Linked DNA regions of Drosophila melanogaster. Changing the gene in region 1 together with any one later gene gives a genetic interaction. Each region holds a gene or a part of one and is shown in the gene's direction. Other genes may lie near its edges.

Evidence for each region.
Region 2: of Raf (region 1) and Dis3, changing one enhances a phenotype caused by changing the other (phenotypic enhancement), as found in Drosophila melanogaster (one study listed by BioGRID).
Region 3: of Raf (region 1) and hid, changing one enhances a phenotype caused by changing the other (phenotypic enhancement), as found in Drosophila melanogaster (2 studies listed by BioGRID).
Region 4: of Raf (region 1) and exp, changing one enhances a phenotype caused by changing the other (phenotypic enhancement), as found in Drosophila melanogaster (one study listed by BioGRID).

The regions. Positions count from the first base shown.
Region 1 is NC_004354.4:2,293,421-2,298,466, forward strand, and holds the start of Raf (Raf oncogene), read left to right. Parts: upstream 1-2,045; 5' UTR 2,046-2,538; intron 2,539-2,733; 5' UTR 2,734-2,933; intron 2,934-5,046.
Region 2 is NT_033777.3:24,331,815-24,337,762, forward strand, and holds Dis3 (Dis3), read left to right. Parts: upstream 1-1,618; 5' UTR 1,619-1,678; coding exon 1,679-2,058; intron 2,059-2,110; coding exon 2,111-2,555; intron 2,556-2,618; coding exon 2,619-3,697; intron 3,698-3,753; coding exon 3,754-4,422; intron 4,423-4,479; coding exon 4,480-4,855; 3' UTR 4,856-5,219; coding exon of another isoform or gene 5,220-5,256; 3' UTR 5,257-5,434; downstream 5,435-5,948. Other genes in the region: Rrp5 (ribosomal RNA processing 5), read right to left, coding at 1-1,270, 1,327-1,407; CG6432 (uncharacterized protein), read left to right, coding at 5,220-5,256.
Region 3 is NT_037436.4:18,182,628-18,187,671, reverse strand, and holds the start of hid (head involution defective), read left to right. Parts: upstream 1-2,030; 5' UTR 2,031-2,549; coding exon 2,550-2,880; intron 2,881-5,044.
Region 4 is NT_033778.4:11,937,526-11,942,558, forward strand, and holds the start of exp (expansion), read left to right. Parts: upstream 1-2,031; 5' UTR 2,032-2,709; intron 2,710-5,033.

The DNA.
Region 1 (5,046 bases):
AACGCTAAATGAAAGACGTTCGCTCGCAGCCGCTGCCGCAGTGGCGTCGCTGCCTCTGCCCTCGGTGGCAGAGCGCACAGATGTTTGCGTTCAAACGGAAGTGGCTTAAGAGAGCGCCTAAGAGAGAGAGAGTGAGAGAGCGAATGGCCTACGTGCGTATTTGTACATGCATACACACAGCTGAGGCAAACAAATAATAACACCTAGGCGCTTAAATAAAAGTTTTTAGGCCAATCGTCTCAAGCTAAATGATTTGATTTACTTTATATAGGTGCTCTGTATGAACTAAGTTAATTGACATATTGCATTAACAATCTTTACAGACACAATAATCTTAGTTCCAACTTGCAAATTGCTAACATAATTTTTCCAATATTCCCACATATCTTAAAACTGTAATTACATTTTCAGTGCTATTCTCTCCACCTGCACTGTACATGTGTATGTATATTTGTCGCAAAGATTTTTACTCATTTGTAACGGAAGCAAATCGCTGGTCAGTGGGTGGTGTATTTGTGTTGTCGTGGGTGTTTGAGTGGTTGGGCGCTTCGGTGATGAGCATAATCCGCATAGTTGTTGCTCCTGCCCCTTTATTATGTAAAAATAGTGACTTTGGCTGGATTTGGCTATGCAAAGTACTTGCTAAGGCAATCACCTACACTTGCGGCAACTGCTAATTGAGAAATCCACACGGCGCTGACATGGAATCATTCGAATCCATTGAAATTGCCAAATTAGGCGTGGGGGTAACCCCTTGAACTTATCGGCTCGGCTTAACGGGTTTAACAAAATTAAATACACACATATGCGCATGTATACATATGTTCATGCTTGTAGAGTGGCTCCTATAGTCTGTTTTGCGAATCAGAATCCAAGTAGAATAGTTTTTTAAGTGTTGTCTCAAAGATGTATGCATACATGGATGTATGTATGTATGTGTGCTTATGACTCTGTAGAAGGTCTATAAACTATGTATTTTGAGGTTTTGAAATGCGAGCTCGAATCAACCCCCTTCCCCGTTTCCAGCTCGATTCATCCTCTTCAACAAGTTCATCTCATCATTTACAGTTTTAGCATGATCCGAAAAATAACAACAACAACAACGACAACAACAAAAGCAAGAAAGTGGGCACAAATAATCGTAACAACAACAATTGTGAGGTCAGTTTGGCACTAGTCAGCGTGTGTGATTATGTGCGCACTTATGTCTGCGTGCATGTACATACATACATATGTTTGTGTGCGAGCACAAAGAGACAATGCAAATTTGCACTCAAACAAAGAGAGAGCGAGTGCAAGTGCGAGTGCGAGAGAAAGGGAAGAGTTCATGAGCGTGCGTTGTGAATGGCTGGAGGGGTCGAGTGCTGTGAGTGGGGGGATCTTTGTTTATCATTTTTGTGTACTATTATTAAGGCGCCGCTGACGGTCGATGACGACATACACACACACACACACACACACACGCAAATGCAAACATAGAGTTTGCACGTGTTTGTGCAAAGTGTTTAGCCGCAAGAAGTAAAGTTCTCGTTTTGATTTTGTTTATTCAAAATTGAAATTCCCAGAAACAAAAGCTCCCATGACGATGATGATTCACATGCCAGACGCTGCGGGGAAAAACATCAGGAACTTTATCAGCTAATTGTGTCACAAGAGGACAAATAAGCCAGAAACATTTGCCTGCGCGCGTTTCTTGGTATAGTGCCATCAACTCGATCTCGATCTCAGTAGTTCATCTTTTATAATGCCCACACACACATACATATGTACATATATGAGCATATGTACATATGTACATAAGTCATATGTACATATATGAGCATATGTATGTACATAAGTCATATGTACGTACATACGTTTTTGATTATCTTAAAAAATTGTAATCACACGTACTCCTGCCATTTGACTTAGACCCACTTTCGATATTGACAAATTTTCAATGGTTTTACATTTTTTCCCCACCTCTATTCATAATTTCTGTGTCTCTTGTGTTGCTTAAATGGGCCGTTTTGATTTCTTTCGCGTCTCATTCCAATTCCATCCCTCTTCCATTCCCATTGCCACACGCTTGGCGCTCTTTTGCATTTTCTTAAAGTCGCCCAGATAAGTTCGGAATTACGTAATTAAGCGGCAGCAGCAACAACAAAAACAACATAACCAACAAGCTAACAATTAAGTATTTATTGCTTTCAATTTGCTGCCCGATAACAAAAGAAGCCAAAAAACAAAAAGGAAAAACGAGAGACTGGAAAAAACAAGCAGAACAAAGTAAATAAAAACCGAAACGGACACACATACACACACACACACACCGCTACCTGCGTCGACAGCGGCAGCGAAATCAGCGCCTCGCTTCAATTTTATTCCGTTTGAATTTGAAGATGTTTTTAGTGCACTGCCATTAAGTCCTTAGCACGCGCTTTTATTTCGCTTCGTTTCAATGTGCAGGTAGGAATAACAAAAAGCGGAGGATGGGAGTGACAACGAAATCGAAACTTTGCAACAAAATTGCATTTGAATGAGCAGCGGGGGCGCGCGGTAATTTCAATTATCAATAACATATTTAAATTCCCCATTCTCCTCCCCTTCTATTATCCTCTGTCCCTCCTTCCCCCCTCCACGGACTCCTACACCTTTTTTAGTCGCTCTCTCAACTCTTGATTGCTCTCTCTCTCCCTCTCTCTGTGCGATGGGAACGTTCTCTTTGCCTTTGCATCGGCCACTTCACTTCAGCGGAGAGCACAGTGGGATAAATTGGCAGTTGATGACCCATTGTTGCATTATTGTGTTTTAACCATAAAGCCAACAAATGCTTGGCGTTCAAGCCCTTCATGGAGTAACGCATATCAACGGATTGTCGGGGATTATCCAACGTCTTAAAGTCAAAATCTTACAAATCGCAGTATTTACCTGGCAAACGTGTTAATCCACAGGTAAGTTGGGCTGAAACCACCCTAAGTCAATATCAAGGGTTTTTTTTTAGATCTTTCTAAAGTTTAATTGTACGCATGTCTTAGCTTCGAATTCTTGTCATCCGAAATGCTTTGTTGTCCATTTGTTCTTGTTCTGGCCCACTGTGCCGCGTGTGAATGAACGTATAAAAAGTGAGAGCGTCGCCTGCCCGACTCATAAACGAAAATCAATGACTCCCAATGCGCGTACCCTTCCCTCACCCCCCTGCGGAGCCCAACGCTTTTTGGGAGTGATAAATGCCGCCTCAGCGTCGTCAGCAGATTTCAGCCTGCGCATGTTTGTCGGCCCGCAAACACTCGCAAACACACACACACGCTCTTCCCGTGATGTTTGTTGATTTGGCTGCATTCAAGAAACGACAGTGCTTGGGGCAGTGGGCATTGTTAGACTTTTAGTCGTTTCAACTCTACTTTCAGTGGGTATCATCCGCAACCAAAAGGAGGAAGGATGAACATTGCATGTGTGTACATACATATGTACATACGCAGTACGTAGTACGGATTACGTATTACGTATGGGCAGTTGCCATTTATGCAAGGTGGCTGTTCCTGCACTCGAACACATGTTTGTGTGGTCATTTGTAATTTGGTCAGGCGAGCAACAAGAAAAAAGGATAATGAAAGGATCAAATGTGCGTAGAACGTACATATAAAGGGTGTGATATCACAATTATTTTCGATGACTTCGTTTAATGTTGGAAAAGTAGACGGGAATGCATTACATCGAAGTGAACTATTTAACTTTGGATAGAACTGTTGTTTTTTGTAGGCATTTGCATTTCTCGCCGCTTCTTCTGCTCCTCCTCCTGCTCTTCGCTTTGGCGTTGGCGAGAGAGCGCCTCGTTGGTCTCTTTGTGTGTTTATGCTTTCAACATTGATACGTGCCACTTTTCGGATGCAGACTTGCGAGAAGCAGCGGGGGGGGGGGGGGGGGAAGAGGAAGTGGCAGAAGCTGGTAGACGGGGGCAACGTGTGGGGACAGCTGGGTGAGTTTGTAATTAATTGCGGCCTTGCCTCCCCTTCACCGCCAAACATCCTCATCCCCGGCAGCCAGGCTCCCTCGCTCGCTCAGGCAAACTCTCTCGCTGAGAAACCAGCCGCCAACAGTTTGTTTTCTTTTCTCGCCGCTCTCATCGTCACTTCCGACTCGTCGGGGGCAGAGGGTGGGCCAGCGGCATACTCTTTGTCTAGTCGCCAATCTCCCCGCACTCCACTTCATTCATGAAGCACAAAGTGTACAGCAGACACTCGCTAAGTGACTAGTGTTTCGTAATTCATTAAGATTTTTGTTGGTTTTCTTCTCTCATTTTTCCCGCACCAATTCTGCACTATTCACAAGTAAAAATGGCACCAACTCTCTTATTTGTGGGCACTAAAACGACCATGAATCGTCGTTCGGTGTTCACTGTACCTGCTGCCAGTAGCCCAAAAACGGACAGTGGCTGAGGCGTCAGCGTCGGCAGAGCAAAGAAAGCGCGCTAGTTACAGTTACAGTTACGTTACAGAGGGCCAAAGACAATGCTAGGCTTGGTTAACGGTAATTACAGCGTTTGTGGGGGGGGGGGGTGTGGTGTAGTGCTCGGGCGTAGCTAGGCAGAGGGATATTTGTTAATACATATGTAGCACTCGAATTCTTTAGTTGGTTTATAATATCATCAAGAATGAGGAAAAAACTAGCTAATTTGTTGATAAATGTTAAGATGCCCCTCTGTTTTAAGTCCTCACTAAGCCCATGAAAAGCACCGTTAATTGAGTGGGATGATCCCCATTGAAAGCGCAGTACTACAGCTAATTCCAATACCACTTTCAATATCCAATTGCTCGCCTTTCAATCGTCGAAACGGTGAACGAAGAGGAGAAAAGATAAGGGTATGTACCGAAATGTGGAAATACCCGAAAGGGCCATTGGAATATGGGATATTGAACCCTAATCGTGAAGACCTCGTGTTTTCTTTGACTCATCAGCCGATTTTGCGATAATGCGCTCTTTTTGGTATCCGTTGGATGATACATAAATTAAATACATAAATGATAACTTATAGAAACACCATACACAACTGTTTAGAAATTTGTG
Region 2 (5,948 bases), on another chromosome or scaffold:
TGACCAGATCGCCGGCATTAATATCCTCCAGGCAGAACAGCTTTTCGTTGACCACGTTGGGATCATCGGAGCAGTAGTACAAGGATTCGATGACATCGTATCCTAGGATGCGAACCTTATGCTTCGTTTTTCTTCCGTATTTGGACAATACTTCGTCCTTGTCATAATTTCCCTTGAAATTGCCTCTGATTGAACCGTATGAGATAATGCCCTTTAGTTTCTTATTAAGAAGCAGTACCACGCCACCGCTGCCCAAGCGCAGAACCTTGGCTTTTTCCACCACGGAACCCACCTTTATGGGCTCTACCTCCTGCTCTTCCTCATCCTGATCTTTTGCTACTGCAGCTCCAGTTTTGATATCCAGATTAAGAGTTAAGTACACTAGTTTGGTTAGGGGCATCACGTAGAGTACCCTGGCATTGTAATCCTCATTCAGCTCGTAGGCATCCAAAGTATCCAAAGCGTTAGCTAGATGATGTTCGTTGACGTAGGCACTAAAGGATTCATTCATGATGCTGCCTTTGAGGCCATCCTTCAGATGCTTGGCCACCTTAAACTTTACAATGCTGCCTGGCAGAATGTAGTCGAGATTCGTCTCGTTTTGACTCTTGATGCGCAGCTGGTCCTGCTCCACCTGGACACAGGTGCAGGTGCTCTGGTGGGTGTCGTGATGAACGGTTTTGACTTTTAGGAAAGCCAACTGCCCCACGTGTAGCTTCTGAGCTGGCTTCTCGCATGGCACGAATGCCTGAAGTCCTTGTACTCCCGACTCGATGACATAGCCGTGCTCCAGAGCCTCCGCCACGGCGCCAGAGAAGATGAAACCCTTCTTAATGCTCTTGTGATGCAGATTACCGTGCACATCGGCCGGCTTGAGGGAAAGGAGCAGGCTAACCCGACCGGTGTCCAGCTTTTCTGTTTTGATGGCCTTGCCGTAGACGATGCGGCCCAACTGGAAGAGCTCGGTAAGGTCGTGGTACTCGCTGGTGTCTCCGGACATGGCCGCCTTGGCCACACGGGTGTAGGCGTCGGATATATCCGCCACCAAGGTGCGGGCGAACATCCGACCGGGCAAAGCGATCTGCAGTGCGGTGGCTGTCAACTCCTTGACCACTCCCATGACCAGCATGTCCTCCTGCAGCGTGTCCATATTGAGCGTTTCCGCGGAGAAGGCCTCCAGTTGGCCATTTTGTTCCTCGGTTTCGTAGCTCAGAAGGTTCTCTTTTACTTTCGGCGCCTTCTTCACCTTCTTCTGCGAGGCACCGAAAACCTGTGGGACAGAAAAGTATGTACAAAGATCTCGGATATTTCGCTGGCTAAACTCACGATATTCAGGCTCACGTCGTCGGTTTTGACTTCGCTGTGGATTGTCCCGCCTCGGGGAAAGCTTTTCTCGTTCGGCACCATCCGGGAGCTGTGTAATTTAGCGTTTTAAATAACAAAATTTGAGCAACGTGCGTTCTACACGTGCTAAGCGCCGATATAGAAAATCAGTTCAATAAATGGTACTAAATTATACCTTAAGATACGGGGCAGTCCGTAGACTCAAACCACTGTGACCATTGCGGCTGCAGTGTGAACAGGCCTTAGGCAGATAATACCGCAGTCGAATCATGCACGGGCCTCCCTATTCCGGCACACATGTGAAGGTGTAACAATTCGAACGCGGTTCAACAAAATGCAAACTTTACGCGAATTTACGCGTAAAACCAAGCGCGGCAACATTCTGAAGATTGTACGGGAGCACTATCTGCGCGACGACATCGGCTGCGGCTCCGAGCTGTGCCGGGAGTGTTTCCAAAACGAGGTATACCAGCTCACCTCGCAGCACGCGAATAAGAGCACCCTCTTCAAATTCCCGCACTATCTCGTTTTGGACACAAATGTGGTTCTGGACCAGATCGACGTGCTGGAGGAGGATGTTTTGCGCAACGTAGTCGTTCTGACCACCGTGCTCAACGAGGTGAAGCACAGGAGCTCCGCCATTTACAAGCGATTCAATGAGATCGTCCACGACCGCACCAGGAACTTCTATGTGTTCGTCAACGAGCACCACAAGTGGGTTAATGGATTTTCTTGGGAAACCTTTATAATATAGTGCTTCTTCTAGGGAAACCTATGCTGATCGCGAACCAGATGAGACCGCCAATGATCGCAATGATCGGGCCATTCGTCTGGCCACCAAGTGGTACGATGATCACCTGCAGGCCTCGCAATCCTCTAAAGAGTTCGAGCGCAGTGGCAAAGCTGCTACGCGAGTTGTTCTGCTCACAGATGATGCTGCCAATCGTGCTAAGGCCGAAGCAGAAGGTATTCTGGTGACCACAGCAGCGGAGTACGTGAAATCTCTCGAGGATTTTCCACTTCTGATGGATAAGCTGTCGCACAAAACATTCGACAGCGAGAAGAATGGTCTGCCCCAGTACCCGCCGCATCTCAGCATGAAGGAGCTGCTGGAAGGACTGCGCCAAAATAAGCTACTACAGGGCACTTTTCAGGCATCCAGGGAAAACTACTTGGAGGGCACCGTCAATGTAGAGAAATTCGAAAAGGGGGTAAGTTAAAACGCTAAATATCTTCCCTGGCATACGCTTCACAATACGATTTCTGTTTAATAGATCCTTATCCAAGGACGCGAGTCTCTTAATCGGGCCGTGGATGGCGACCTGGTGGCCGTGGAGCTTTTGCCCGAGGCGGAGTGGTCAGCACCCAGTGAAATTGTACTGGAGGAGAAGAATGTCTATGCCGATGAAGTGCCCAGCGAGGAAAGGGCCAAGGATGAAAATGAGATGTTGAATCAGGTGCGTGCCGCTGCCTTATCCGCAGAGCGCACGCCCACAGGGCGAATTGTCGGTATTGTGCGACGGAAATGGCGACAGTATTGCGGCATCCTGCAGCCTAGCTTAATAGAGGATACAAATCGGCACATCTTTGTGCCCGCCGACCGTAAGATTCCGCGCATCCGTATCGAAACGCGACAGGCAGCAATGCTGCAGAACCAGCGCATCATCGTAACGATTGACACATGGCCGCGCAACTCGCGCTACCCACATGGACATTTTGTGCGCTCCCTGGGACCGCTCGGAGACATGGCCACCGAGAACGAGGTTATCCTGCTGGAGCACGACGTCCCGCACTGCAAGTTCTCGGACGAAGTGCTTAGCTTCTTGCCGAAAATGCCCTGGACAATTACTGACGAGGACTATTCCAAGCGTGTGGATCTGAGGGATCTGTACATTTGCTCTGTGGATCCCCCGGGCTGCACGGATATCGATGATGCTTTGCACTGCAAGGAACTACCGAACGGCAATCTGGAAGTGGGCGTTCACATAGCCGACGTAAGTCACTTTATTCGTCCAGGAAACGCACTGGACATGGAGGCAGCGGCCAGGGGAACCACCGTGTACTTGGTGGGCAAACGAATCGACATGGTACCCGAGTTACTCAGCTCAAATCTCTGCTCATTGGTTGGCGGTGTTGAGCGATTCGCCTTCTCCTGCGTGTGGGAAGTGGACAATGAAGCAAATGTGTTAAGCAAACGCTTCCACAAGAGCGTCATCAAATCGAAGCGTGCCATGACCTACGAGGAAGCGCAGAATATCATCGACGATGCCACGCAACAGAATGAAATAGCCAAGTCCCTGAGAAATCTTAATCGGTTGGCCAAAATACTGAAAAAGCGACGAATGGATAATGGGTAAGATTATATTAACACCTCGTAATCAAGTGAACTAAGGCATCCATAATTTACAGAGCCCTTGTCCTTGCCTCCCCGGAGATCCGCTTCCAGGTGGACAGCGAGACACACGAACCACTCGAGGTGGAGGTGAAGCAGATGCGCGAGACGAATTCCATGGTGGAGGAGTTCATGTTGCTGGCCAACATCACGGTGGCCGAGCATATCGCAACGGAGTTCTCCGAGTGCGCTGTTCTGCGTCGCCATCCTCGGCCACCGCCTACCAATTTCGATCCGCTGGTAAAGTCTGCGCGCTACCAGGGCTTCCAGGTGGACATCAATTCGGGACTGGAGCTGTCGCATTCACTGGACAAGTGTGTCAAGGCGGATAATCCGTACTTTAACACAATGATCCGCATCCTCACCACACGCTGTATGATGCAGGCAGTGTACTTCATCAGCGGCAGTCTGCAGAAGGAGGAGTTCTTCCACTACGGTCTGGCTGCTCCCATCTACACGCACTTTACGTCGCCCATTCGTCGTTACTCCGACATTATGGTACATCGCCTGCTGGCCGCCTCAATCGGCGCGGATAGCACCTATGCCCAGCTATTGGACCGAAAGTCAAATGAGGAGCTGTGTCATAATCTTAACTACCGCCACAAAATGGCTCAGTACGCTGGTCGCGCATCAGTGGCCCTCAACACGCATCTCTTTTTCCGCGGCAAGGAGGAGGATGAGGAAGGGTGAGTCGAAGAAACCACTAGTGGGCAACATTCTTTTCAATTATTACCCATCCCTAGATATGTGCTATTTGTGCGCAAGAATGCTCTGCAAGTGCTAATCCCCAAGTATGGCCTGGAAGGCACTTTGTATCTAAAGTCGGACAAGGATGGCAAGGACGGTGTGGAGCGCGTCAAGAGCGAGATTGTCTTCACCTTCAACGAAGAGGATCATACACAGCGTTGCGGTGACGTGGTGTTCCACTCCTTTGATCCAGTCACGGTTCGTCTTAGCCTGGATTCCAGCAATGTGCAGCACGAGAAGCTGATCTTCCGGCTGGTCAAGCCGTACATCAAGGGCTTCAGCGTGGAAACGACCACCGAAGGAACTGATAGCCAAGCGGTTTCTGCGGCACCTCCATCGAAAAAGACAAAGAAGGATAAGAAAAAGAAGTAATTCTTTGGATCTTTGCTTATGTGGAACTAGACTACGCTGAAGATGTGTAACTACAATCATTTCGTATAAATAAAATGTAAGGTTTTTAAATTCCGCTCCGTTTCGTAAACCTTTTCCACCGTTCCGGCTCTGCCGATCTCGGAGAGTTTCGAAAGCATACCTTTGATCGGGTGTTTTGTTTAAGGTTTTGGTTTCCAACTTGCGTTCTACATTCTCCAGACCCATTGCAAAGTTTCGACTACAGTGCGACGGTTGTGCTGAGCTCGTTTGATCCAAAAAATTCAAAAAGAATATATATAATAAATACATATATACATTAACTTGACTTGAATATATACAAGAACGGAAGTTATACAAAGTTACAATGGAACCCGGTCCTAGTGCAGTGAACTACGAAGGCAGTAAGTCGAAAAAGGTTTCGAAATTCATATGAAAAGGCTAAAAAATTTAATCAATGAGTAATCGCGTGATTTTTGCGGAACATATATTTATATCGGTACACATATTTTAATACGCATATTGAAAACATCAGTTAAAATAAACAACTTTTAGAACATCAAATAAAGTGCTTGGAAAACTAATATGCCAACTTTCGTTGTGATCTAAATGAATTCTATAGATTTTCGAATTTTCCAAAAACTATCTAAGTGGAGTCCAACTTTTTACAATATTCTTGGATTCTTGCAGTGCGATGTAGATAGATAGATAATTTATGCACAAGAGTTCAAGGTGATAAATATTGTGTTTTAAACCACTGCTCGCCAATTAAAATAATGAACTTTCGATGCGACTTTGAAGTGATTAATTAGTGTTTAGTTGTGCGCCCAAACTGTCGGCACTAAATATTAATGAATTCGATTAGCTTATTCAACAAGGAGGCTTTTAGGTCCAATATCCATCGCCAATCACGTGTGGATTATGCTCGGCGTCTGGGTGAGCCGCACACCCGACGCATATGTGCAGTACATGGGTGCCAGGTTGGGTATATAGAAATCAGTTGAGTGACCGCGACATTTGGAAAATTTAAAATTCAATGTGCCTGGTGTGTGTAAGGTGGTATGGAGTGGAAGGTTTGTAATTTAGTTTGATAGCC
Region 3 (5,044 bases), on another chromosome or scaffold:
CTTCGCTTGTTGCATGCTCGCTCATGTTCATGTTTTTTATGTCGTTTTGTGCAAGAGTGTGCTTGAATTTCGTCATCTTGGGAAATCCTTGCATAATGTACATATTCATGTATGTTCATCCATACATACTTACGTACATACATTTGTCGTCGAGTCGTTTAGCTTACGTGTTATCGCACTTTATCGGCATATTTTTGACCTCAATCTTAGTTTATTAAATAAAGAGAGTTTTTGGGTGAAAACAAAAAAGGTGTCAGGTAGGGCTAAAATCATTTTTGATTTTAAAAATTTAAGGTAATCATTTAAGGGATATGAACAAGTATAATAAAACTAGATTAAATGCAAGTGCATTTTCTTCAGAATTTTCGACGGGCCTCTTTTATTTTGAAATATGGGCTATTAAACTAGTTTTAGGTCTAGAATCTAATTTGTTTTAAATTATATTGCGAACATTTTATAATACCACATTATTAAGAGAGCTACTAGAGCTACATAGATACAAAGCTAATAAATGGATCTAAAGTAATGCCAGTTACGAGAATTATTTGCCGTAAAATTTAAATTAAAAGCCAAGAATTGTTTTACGCGTATTTCGTAATTTTTTTCAAGCGTTTTCGCGCGCAAAGTTGGGAATGACAGAGAAGGAAATAGAGAGAGAGAGAGAGAGAGAGAAAAGGAGAGGAAAAAGCCTGTTTGTATAATGTGTGGGAGGGAGAGGGGAAGATGCAGAGGAAGACAAGAGTAAGAGCGAAAACAGGTTTTTCATGTTGCACAGTCAATTTTTGATATATGGTGAAATTGATTAAATATAGCCAACATCCAAATCGGAAATGTAATTAGCTAAACTCCTTATCGTATATTCAAAAACACGTTTGAAATGTTTAATGTGAATGAACGCCAACTAAATAGTCTTTATTACATTGCTTGAATACCCAAAATATAAAACAATTTAATTTATTTTATTAAATACAATAAACTAGCTAATCATTCTCTGCATAAATGTACATACATACATACATATGTACATTCATTTAGCCAGTAAAACCTGAGCTAAGCAAGTTGGATCCTTTGTTAATCATGTTGCTATTTTTCAAATTTATATTCAAAAAAAAAGTATTGAACATTATAAAATTGTGAACTTCCCTTCTCAAAATATTTTAAAATGTGAGAAAGTAATCAAGCTTTGTCTAAAAACTCCCTTTTTTCTACTACCTTTTTAACTCATTTAATCCGCTCATAGAATATACTCCCATTTATCATACTCTTTCTACTCCGGTTTTTTGGCCTCTTAAGAACGCTTGCTCTCCCTCCGCTCTCTTGTTTAAACAAATACAAATCAAAACCGAAAGCAAGAGCAAAGTGCAATAACGAAAACCACAAGCAAAGAGTGTTGTACAATTGCAGTTTTTGTTTTGCTTTAGCGTTCGCTAGGCAGCGCAGTCGGATATACTGCCTCTTCGCTACTTCTGATGAGTTTTCTTCTTCTTCTGAATTTACCTGCTCGACAAGATCTTTGTGTACCCACACATACACGCGTACACAGCCTGCCCACACACTCTTAGTTGAAACGAGAAAGAACGTTTTGTAAGAGTACCAACTGAGACATACCCTTCACATTGTTTGTGCATCTAAATATGTACTTTATGTTGTAAGTAAATATGAGTTATAAAATAGTGTTACTTCAGCAATTAGTGCGCTGGTACAATATTTCAGTTTTTTCAGTATGCGAAAGCCAATCAATTAAATTTTTACAACCTTAAAATCTAGATATGTTAACTATGCTCCTTGATGCATTTATGTAGACGCAATTCATGGTCCGAGTATACTCTTCCTCACTCAGCTATTACAGGGTAGGTAAAGAGCGGGATTTTTTAAAATATTTTTTTTCTCTCAAGTGTGCCTCCTTCATGCACGTGCATGTGCAGGAGAGGGAGCGAGAGAGATTGCGATTGCACTGGCTGCGCGCCTACGCTGCCGCTCTGCCGACGTCGCGGTAGAGGCTCTGTTGCCGTAGTTTGAGGCCCCAGTGCGAACAGTTCATTTTTAGCCGCGGAGCCAGTAAGACGTGTTTCCTGCCCTCTTTCTTTGAGTCTGCGACACGTTTTAAGTGCTCTTCCATAATTGACAACAGCAAAAGCAAAGAATAAAAAAATAACAAAAAATAAAAAACGAAATCCATCGTGAACAGTTTTGTGTTTTTAAATCAGTTCTAAACACGAAAAGGGTTGATGAAAAACGCAGAAGAATCCGAAAAACTAACTAACCGAGCAAAAACTTGACTTGAGTGTTGTTTGACAAATCAGGAAAGATAAAAAACAAATCATAAGAAAAAACTGCACGAAAAATGAAAAAGTTTCTAATATTCAAAATCTTGCACAAGAAATACAAAATCAATTAAAGTGAACTCTAACCAAAAGTTGTACACAAAATAAAAAGCAAAACAAAGCAGCGAAGAACAATCACAAGAAGAGCAAAGTGCCAACAAAGTGCAGGAAGGAAGGAAGCGGATAAGGACAAAAAGGAAGCCAGCACACACACACACCCACACAATGGCCGTGCCCTTTTATTTGCCCGAGGGCGGCGCCGATGACGTAGCGTCGAGTTCATCGGGAGCCTCGGGCAACTCCTCCCCCCACAACCACCCACTTCCCTCGAGCGCATCCTCGTCCGTCTCCTCCTCGGGCGTGTCCTCGGCCTCCGCCTCCTCGGCCTCATCTTCGTCCTCCGCATCGTCGGACGGCGCCAGCAGCGCCGCCTCGCAATCGCCGAACACCACCACCTCGTCGGCCACGCAGACGCCGATGCAGTCTCCACTGCCCACCGACCAAGTGCTATACGCCCTCTACGAGTGGGTCAGGATGTACCAGAGCCAGCAGAGTGGTAAGTCTACAAAGATCTCAATTCTCCACTCTTAAGAACTTTGAAATTGTGTGGGTTAATCAGGATATCCATTTAGTTTACCTCAAATACATTTGCAGATACAAAAATAAGTTTCGATTCATATACGGTTATTAATTGCGAAATGTTTAAGAAGTTCCCACACAGAATAACTGCTTACGCATGTTGGTAATATATTTTCTAAAATGCTTATAACCAACACTTTATTTAAGCCCACTTGTTTTGCTATTAACAAGAAGGATTTTCATAGGATCTCCTTGTAAAAGTAAACAAAAAATGTTATTAACTTGAAATTGCTTAAAGAATAGTAAATTTATTTCTTTCGAAAAAACAGCATTTTAAATGTTTGAAGATATTTTCAAACTAATAGATTTGATCAATAAAAAATGGCGAACAATTTTTTTCTATACAAGCGACTTTAAAGGTTTCATATTTTTGATTACCGCTTTTAATATCATTTAGTTTAGTTTAAGAAAGTTTCTGGACAGCCGGAGGGTTTCCCTCATTTTAAAATGGGTCAGCAATTAGCCAAGTTGTGACGTTATTTGTTAACTGCTTCAGTTCCCCTTGTGCAAGTTTCACTTTTCAAGGTTGTTGATTCATCCAGTTTCGAGTAACTGCGTCAACTGCATCCAGGTTGTTTTTGTTTACTTTTACCCAGTTTTTTTTTTATTTTATATATGGTCAATTCAGCACTTTGTCAGCTTATCAGCAAAAAAAAAAGTGTAAAAGGCAGAGCGGAAGGCAAATTTCTCGGCCACATTCGAAAGGAAGCCGAAAAAACGGTAATTCAATAAAAATTAATCGAACAAGTTCAAAAAGGGGAAAATTGAGAAGTAATTGAGAAGTTTCGATTGGAGGAGAGAGCAAACTTAATAAACGAAGTCACAAAACTGCAAAAACTCAAAATCATGTGGGGAATTACTGGATCAAATTCCCAAAGTGGGAATCTTACAAATTAAAAAATTTTGTATTGAGACAAAAATCTACTTATGTTATAAATAAATGAAAATAAAGTAGAAATGGTGATAACTAGCTCGATAAATCACATTAAGATCAATTTCCTTCGGTCATGATTATCTAAACTAGGCTGATAAAACTTTTAGTGTGCTATGGCTTTAAGAAAGAAACGCCGAGACACATGCAAGACAACTGCCGAGTTGGCTGTCATGCGATATTGTTCGTAAATATGGTCAAAAAATTGGGCGTGTGCTGGACCAGCAAGAAAATAAAGACCTGGCTGAAACCAGGGAAACATAACCCAGCGGCAATAAAACAGAGCTGGGAGCACAGAGCTAAGCACGTTTAATTGGCACGCGCCAAACTCGAGTCGAATGTCTTACTTTTGAGACTTTTGAGTGAGTGTGGTGTGCCTGTGTGTCTGGGTATCTGCAAGATATCTATCTATCTCGAGCGTACTGCTCGTATATCTTACCACTCGACTAACCCAAATTATTAAACGCCATTTGACCTTAGGCAACTAGTTTTCCGATTTTCCAAAAGGGGGCCAAACGGGTTGAGGGTGTGGGCCATTTGCAAAGTGTTTGACTTAACGGTTGTTTAAGTAGCTTTTGTGCTCGGCCACGTTGAGTGCGGTCAGTTTTTATTGTTTTTCTTTTTTTTGCGCGCGCGCTTTTCATGTTTGCTTTGCGGTTTTTCATTCGCGTTCCTTAATTTTGTGTTGCCTTTGCATAATAGATTTTGTCGCTGTCGATGATTGCCAGCTGCGCTCTTTGGTTCCACCGAACAACCGAATTGTTACTTTATATTATTTTGCTGTTTTATTTGGTTTGTTACCTTTTTTGCTGTCAGCAACAGTTGGTCAGACGAAAAAAAAGCGTTCCCTTCTCGAAATTACAGTGAGTCACTTTTGGGCGCTTCAATCTGTTTTCGTCTATAATATCATAATTTATACAGAGATACTTTTTTTTCGCTTACGAGAGCTGATGCCCAGTGAAAATTCGATTGCGGGGCATTTATTTTGAAAAACGAGCTAAAAAGACTTGACGTTATCGTGAAAGTTTCGATTTAAAAGTAATTTTCCCTTATCTCATTTTCCCGAACCACATCTAAGCCCCTACTCAACGCACGCCGATCATGTACTTTAGTTAGCCACTCAAGAGGATAATTTATCTAATCGTGACAC
Region 4 (5,033 bases), on another chromosome or scaffold:
TGGCAACGCTCGATTGGAGGCCCAGCCGCAGACTTTTAATAATTACCTGAGGTGCGGCCACTTGAACTTGACTTTAATTGGCTATCGATAAAGTAACAACAATTATGCCAGCACCTGTGGGTTCTCTCCCTTTTTTATGGGCGTCTTTCACTTTGGTCTTTCACTTTTCATTAACGCGACCAATTGATTTTGGAGCCGTTTCGAATGTTATGTAACCCCCGCATACCAGCGATTTTCGATGCCAGCGTTGTCTCATGGTAATTGAATATGGATTACCAAAGTGTAACAAGTGCAAAGCCGTGCGGGCTGCATATTAAGATGTATGAAATGAACAATAACGGTGGAAACTGCTTCGCATTAACAGCAAATGCAAAACGACAGCTACGCCCCCACTTTGCAGTTTCATCAGCTTTTATGATGCCATCCGCGTGACTCGGACTGTCATACCTACGAATGCTACTCCTCTTCAAACGCACTGGAAATGCTCATAATTTGATAATAGCATCAATTAAACTTGATTGCTGGCCGAGACTCTATGCTGGCTCCCATTGTTGTTGGCCGTAATTAGCACCCAAGCGAAATGTTTATACGCCAGTAGTCAAAACTTCTTATTGCCTGGCTATACAAACGGTGTCATTAGTTGGGGATGAGTTATGTATGCGAACCGGAATTTTTTCCTTTTTTTTTTTGGCACGTAATGAAGTCATATTTGCTTAGACAAATTAAATGGGAAACTCTGTGCGCTTCTTATCGATAAACATGCGCAAGAAGAAGCAGCAAGCAGTCGTATCAAAACAAAAGACTTAGGCAACGAACTTGGGCTTGCGTCGACATGAATTTATAATTTTACGCGCTGCGGATTTCAAGACAGCATTCCCAGCATTGTTGCTGGGCCCGTCCGTCATCATCAGCAGCCTCACGATCTTTATTCGCTATATACACAGGCAGTGTATATTTTAAGCACATTTTGAACGCAATAAACAAGGATTTAGTGGTGATATAAAATTTTTAAAAATGTTTGCCTCTAGTTAATCTTCTTCATATCAGTTTAAACAACTATAGTGCTCTGTTTGCGTGATTTATTCAAATTAGTTGCTTGTGCTAGTACATTGTCTTAAAATATTAAGCTATTAAATCGTTGACCCGAATATTTATTATTATTTTCCATAGGGTATTCAAAATTTAAATTCTACCAAAGTGTCTTGTCTTTTGCATTTTACAAGCCCAGCAGAATGGTTTTAATACCATTTCAATTTGATGGAACTAGTGCATTTGCCTCGTGTCACTTTTGGTTGCGCCTGGTGATTTTGCAATTTAATTTCTGCCCGCAAAACGAGTTGCGAAAAAGACTCGGCTAACTCGGACAAGTTCTTGGCTCATGCACTTGTTGCAGCGGTGTTATTTGTATAATGCAGATTTTTAATTGCCTGTCACATAAATTCCAGAGATCTGCGGGCGTTGTAGAACCGCAGGTAGTTTGACATTTCGATTGACCTTCAGAAAGCCATTAGAATAAGAGGCGCATCGGCCATAAAAAACAAATATAAAATCCAGAACCGTTAGGCCTGCCAAAAAATCTCGCCTAAAAGCTTTTAAGTAACGAGTTGATAAATAAAAATTAAAACATTTTGGATAAGCAAAAGAAGAAAAAAACGACAAGAAACATATGCCGATGATGTAATTAAGGTGTAGAAAGCAGGGAGATGAGATTGATGACCACCAAATCTTGCTGGGAATTCAACAAAAATGCAGCCCAAAAGAGCTGCCTAAGAGAGCGCCCATTCGAAGAGCTAGAAATGCGCTCTTGTAGGAACTCTTTTCCAAAAAAGCTTCGCCAAGCTTTTAGACACGCTAAACGCTATTAAGCCAACTTAGCCATGAAGCGACAAGGTAAGAAAAAAAAAAGACAGGTAAAAGAAATACCGAAGCAACGTAACCGAACTTACGGTAAGAAAAAAGGCAGGTAAGGCCGCCAGGTAAGCTCGGCTCTGCCGCCACGAAAGCCCGGCTCTGCTTTTCGCCTTCGATTCTTCAGTCGAGTCGCGAAAGTCGTCGAGTGCGTTTGGTTCGCTGGCTCGTCGGCAGTGCAGCTAAGAAAGAAAAGCAAATCCCCAGCCAATAAAAAATATTATCAAAAAAGAAAACAAACTGAGAAAGAAGAGAAAGAAGCTGCTGGAAAAAAAGGTCGTCATCATCACGAATTTTTGTGCGCGCAGTCTTCGCCGTTATGCAATTGAAGTGCGTTCACAAAATGCCGAGATAGCAACAATTTTGAATTCATTAATTTGCTGGCGAATTAGAAATTTCTGTCGCGCGAGTTTAAAAGACGCATAAATACCCGTGTCCAAATTAAATATTACAATTTATGGCAAACTCGTTTCCACACAGCCCAGCAGCATCGAAAAAGTGAAATTAATAAAGTGAAAAGCAAACGGCAATTGTAGCAAAAAGGCAATTACAAAATCAATATAAATAATAATAGAAAATCATTGTTGCAGCATTGATGAAATATACGTACATACATATACGTAAAGAAATAAACAACAGTTAGGGGCAAGCACTTTTCCTCGTCGTCGCTCTGCGAATACGTAATCATTGGGAAAATATCAGCAATTTTGCAACAGTTTCGTCACAACAACAACAACAACAGCAGCAGCAACAGCAACACCAGCGACTGCAGAAAAAAAACAAAAGTAATTGAGCAGAAAGGTGAGTTCGCAGAGACCAAGAGACACGCATGCAAAGCAGGAAAAAAGTACGAAAAAAGCATGGAAAAACGAAGAGAAACCCTAGCCCTTGCACCTGTTGCGCCTTCCTGGAGGAAAACGCAGTGCTCAGCATCTTTCATTCATAATTGCCCACTTTTTCTTTAACTGTACGGCTGGACTTCCTGCTTACGCACTTTTTTTTTTTTTTTTTGGTCGCTCTGTTTGGTGTTTGCTGTTTGCTACACTTCAGTTTCATTTTCATTTAAATGCGAGCTGAAAACACGGCTTTGGCTCTCAAGGTTGACAACATCTGCGTTTGCTGCTGTGCTTTTCGGCTTCCTCCTCGGATTGCGTATTCATATTTGAATATTATACAATTTGAGACGTCTCAGTTTCGTAAATAGTTCCTTTTTTGCCATCAATTCAAGAGATTAGTGCTGAATTAGCAGCACAATGTCAAGTTAATTTGGGTTCAGCAACTTTTTCTGGCTCTTCATCTCTCAAACTCTTTTTTCTGATACATGTGCACTGAAAAAAGCTGTTGCCATTGTTTTGATGCTTAAAAATTATTAAAGTCTGGCTTATTTAAATCTCATATAAATATATAATATATTAATCTTTGAAATTCTTGTTAAAAGTATTTAGCCTTTTTGACAATTTTATTTTAATTAATGGCCTGATATTAACAAAATGCAAAACACTTGCATGTGACCTTTAAAATATGCCATATATTTTTGGCTTTTATAACCAGTATATTGCCGGCTTTAAGCCAATAAATAAGAATTGTCAATAATTGTTTCAGCACTCATATATATTTGGCAATAAGTAAGAAATAAATGAAACCTCAAATAAATGGCAATTCATTTAAAATCTTAAAAAGGTCTAGTTTCATGTTTCATGATTTTTTTTCGGTTTGAGAACGATTTTTCTCAGTTCACACATAGCCTTGAATAAAACAGATGGATGAGTTTCAGACTGCCAACACGCCTTCGAAAACAAATGCATTTAATACTGAAAACGGGGCGGCCCGAAAAAAAAGCTTAAATTAAAATGTGCAGTAGGTGTTGCCATTCCGATTCCGACTGCGATTGCGAATGCGACAATTGCCCCGACACTTGTATATATATATATATAAATCGTATAGTATATATACACTATACTATATCCGAGCGAAGAGTGAGTGATGAAGAGCTCGAGAGGCAAAGGAAGGAAGTTGCTATCGGCATGAGTTGCAGTTTCATTGGGCTTCGGTTACAGACTCAAATCCAACTTCTCAGCCCATCATCTTTGCAGTTTGTGGGCTTGTGGGAGTCAATTAGTGGGCAAAATTTAAATACATTTAGGTAGATGGTGAGGGGGGGCTGGCATGCCACCCAATTATGCATCCATAAATGTAAACAATCGTCGAAAAGACCCTGTAAAGTGCGGTTCTTCGCCTTAAGAAGAAGAAGAAGAAGAAGGAGAAGAAGTAAGTGCTGAAATCCGTCTAGGCAAAAGTTCACCATGGCCAGAATCTGCAGACAATATAACGTGGCCGAATCGGCTAATGGGAAATGTCAGTCAGTCGGCCGACAACGTTGACTTCATTTACATTTTGGCAAAACAACAAATGAGCTTGCACTAAGCCCCAAAAAAAAAAGGTCGAGCAATAAATTTGTTTTGTAACTCTACCTTTTTAACCAAAAACTAAACCTATTTTCTACTTGGCCAAATTCCAGGAGAATTTGCATTCGACCGCCTAACCGTTCTTTCACTCTCTTTGTGCTTCTGGCCATTTCTTTTCACGCTGTGCGCATATTTCATGAGCTGTCGATGAGTTTGGTTCTATTTGGGTTTATTGAAAGCCATTCCCCCGCCAAATGGGCACCGTTCATTAGCGGGAAAATGGGTTAATCTCATTCAGCGGTCTGCCATACAGTTGCGGTCAAAAAAGTGGCACTGATATATTTGGTTTCTTTGATTGGCTGTAATTCATCTGATTAATTTATCTGCCTAAGTTGTTAAAGAAATTCCTAATAATAGCGAATGACAATGTGTAGATTGTGATATAATCTTTTCCTTGTACGAGCACACCAAAATGTCAAAAGTTTATCTAATAGCTTTAATATCTTTATTGACCCATCTCTAAGATCGCAGTTGTATATAGGTACACGTATCAGAGTTTCCGCACCTTTAAAAGATGCTATAAAAAATGCGCTTTTCAAGTGCGTGCAGTCTGTGATTCAGAAGCTAATTAATCCACAGATGTGGTGGCGCTAACAAAGTGTGAAAGAGAGTCTGATAGGGAGGCACGTGTTGTTGTTTGTCGGCGATTAGCCAGATATT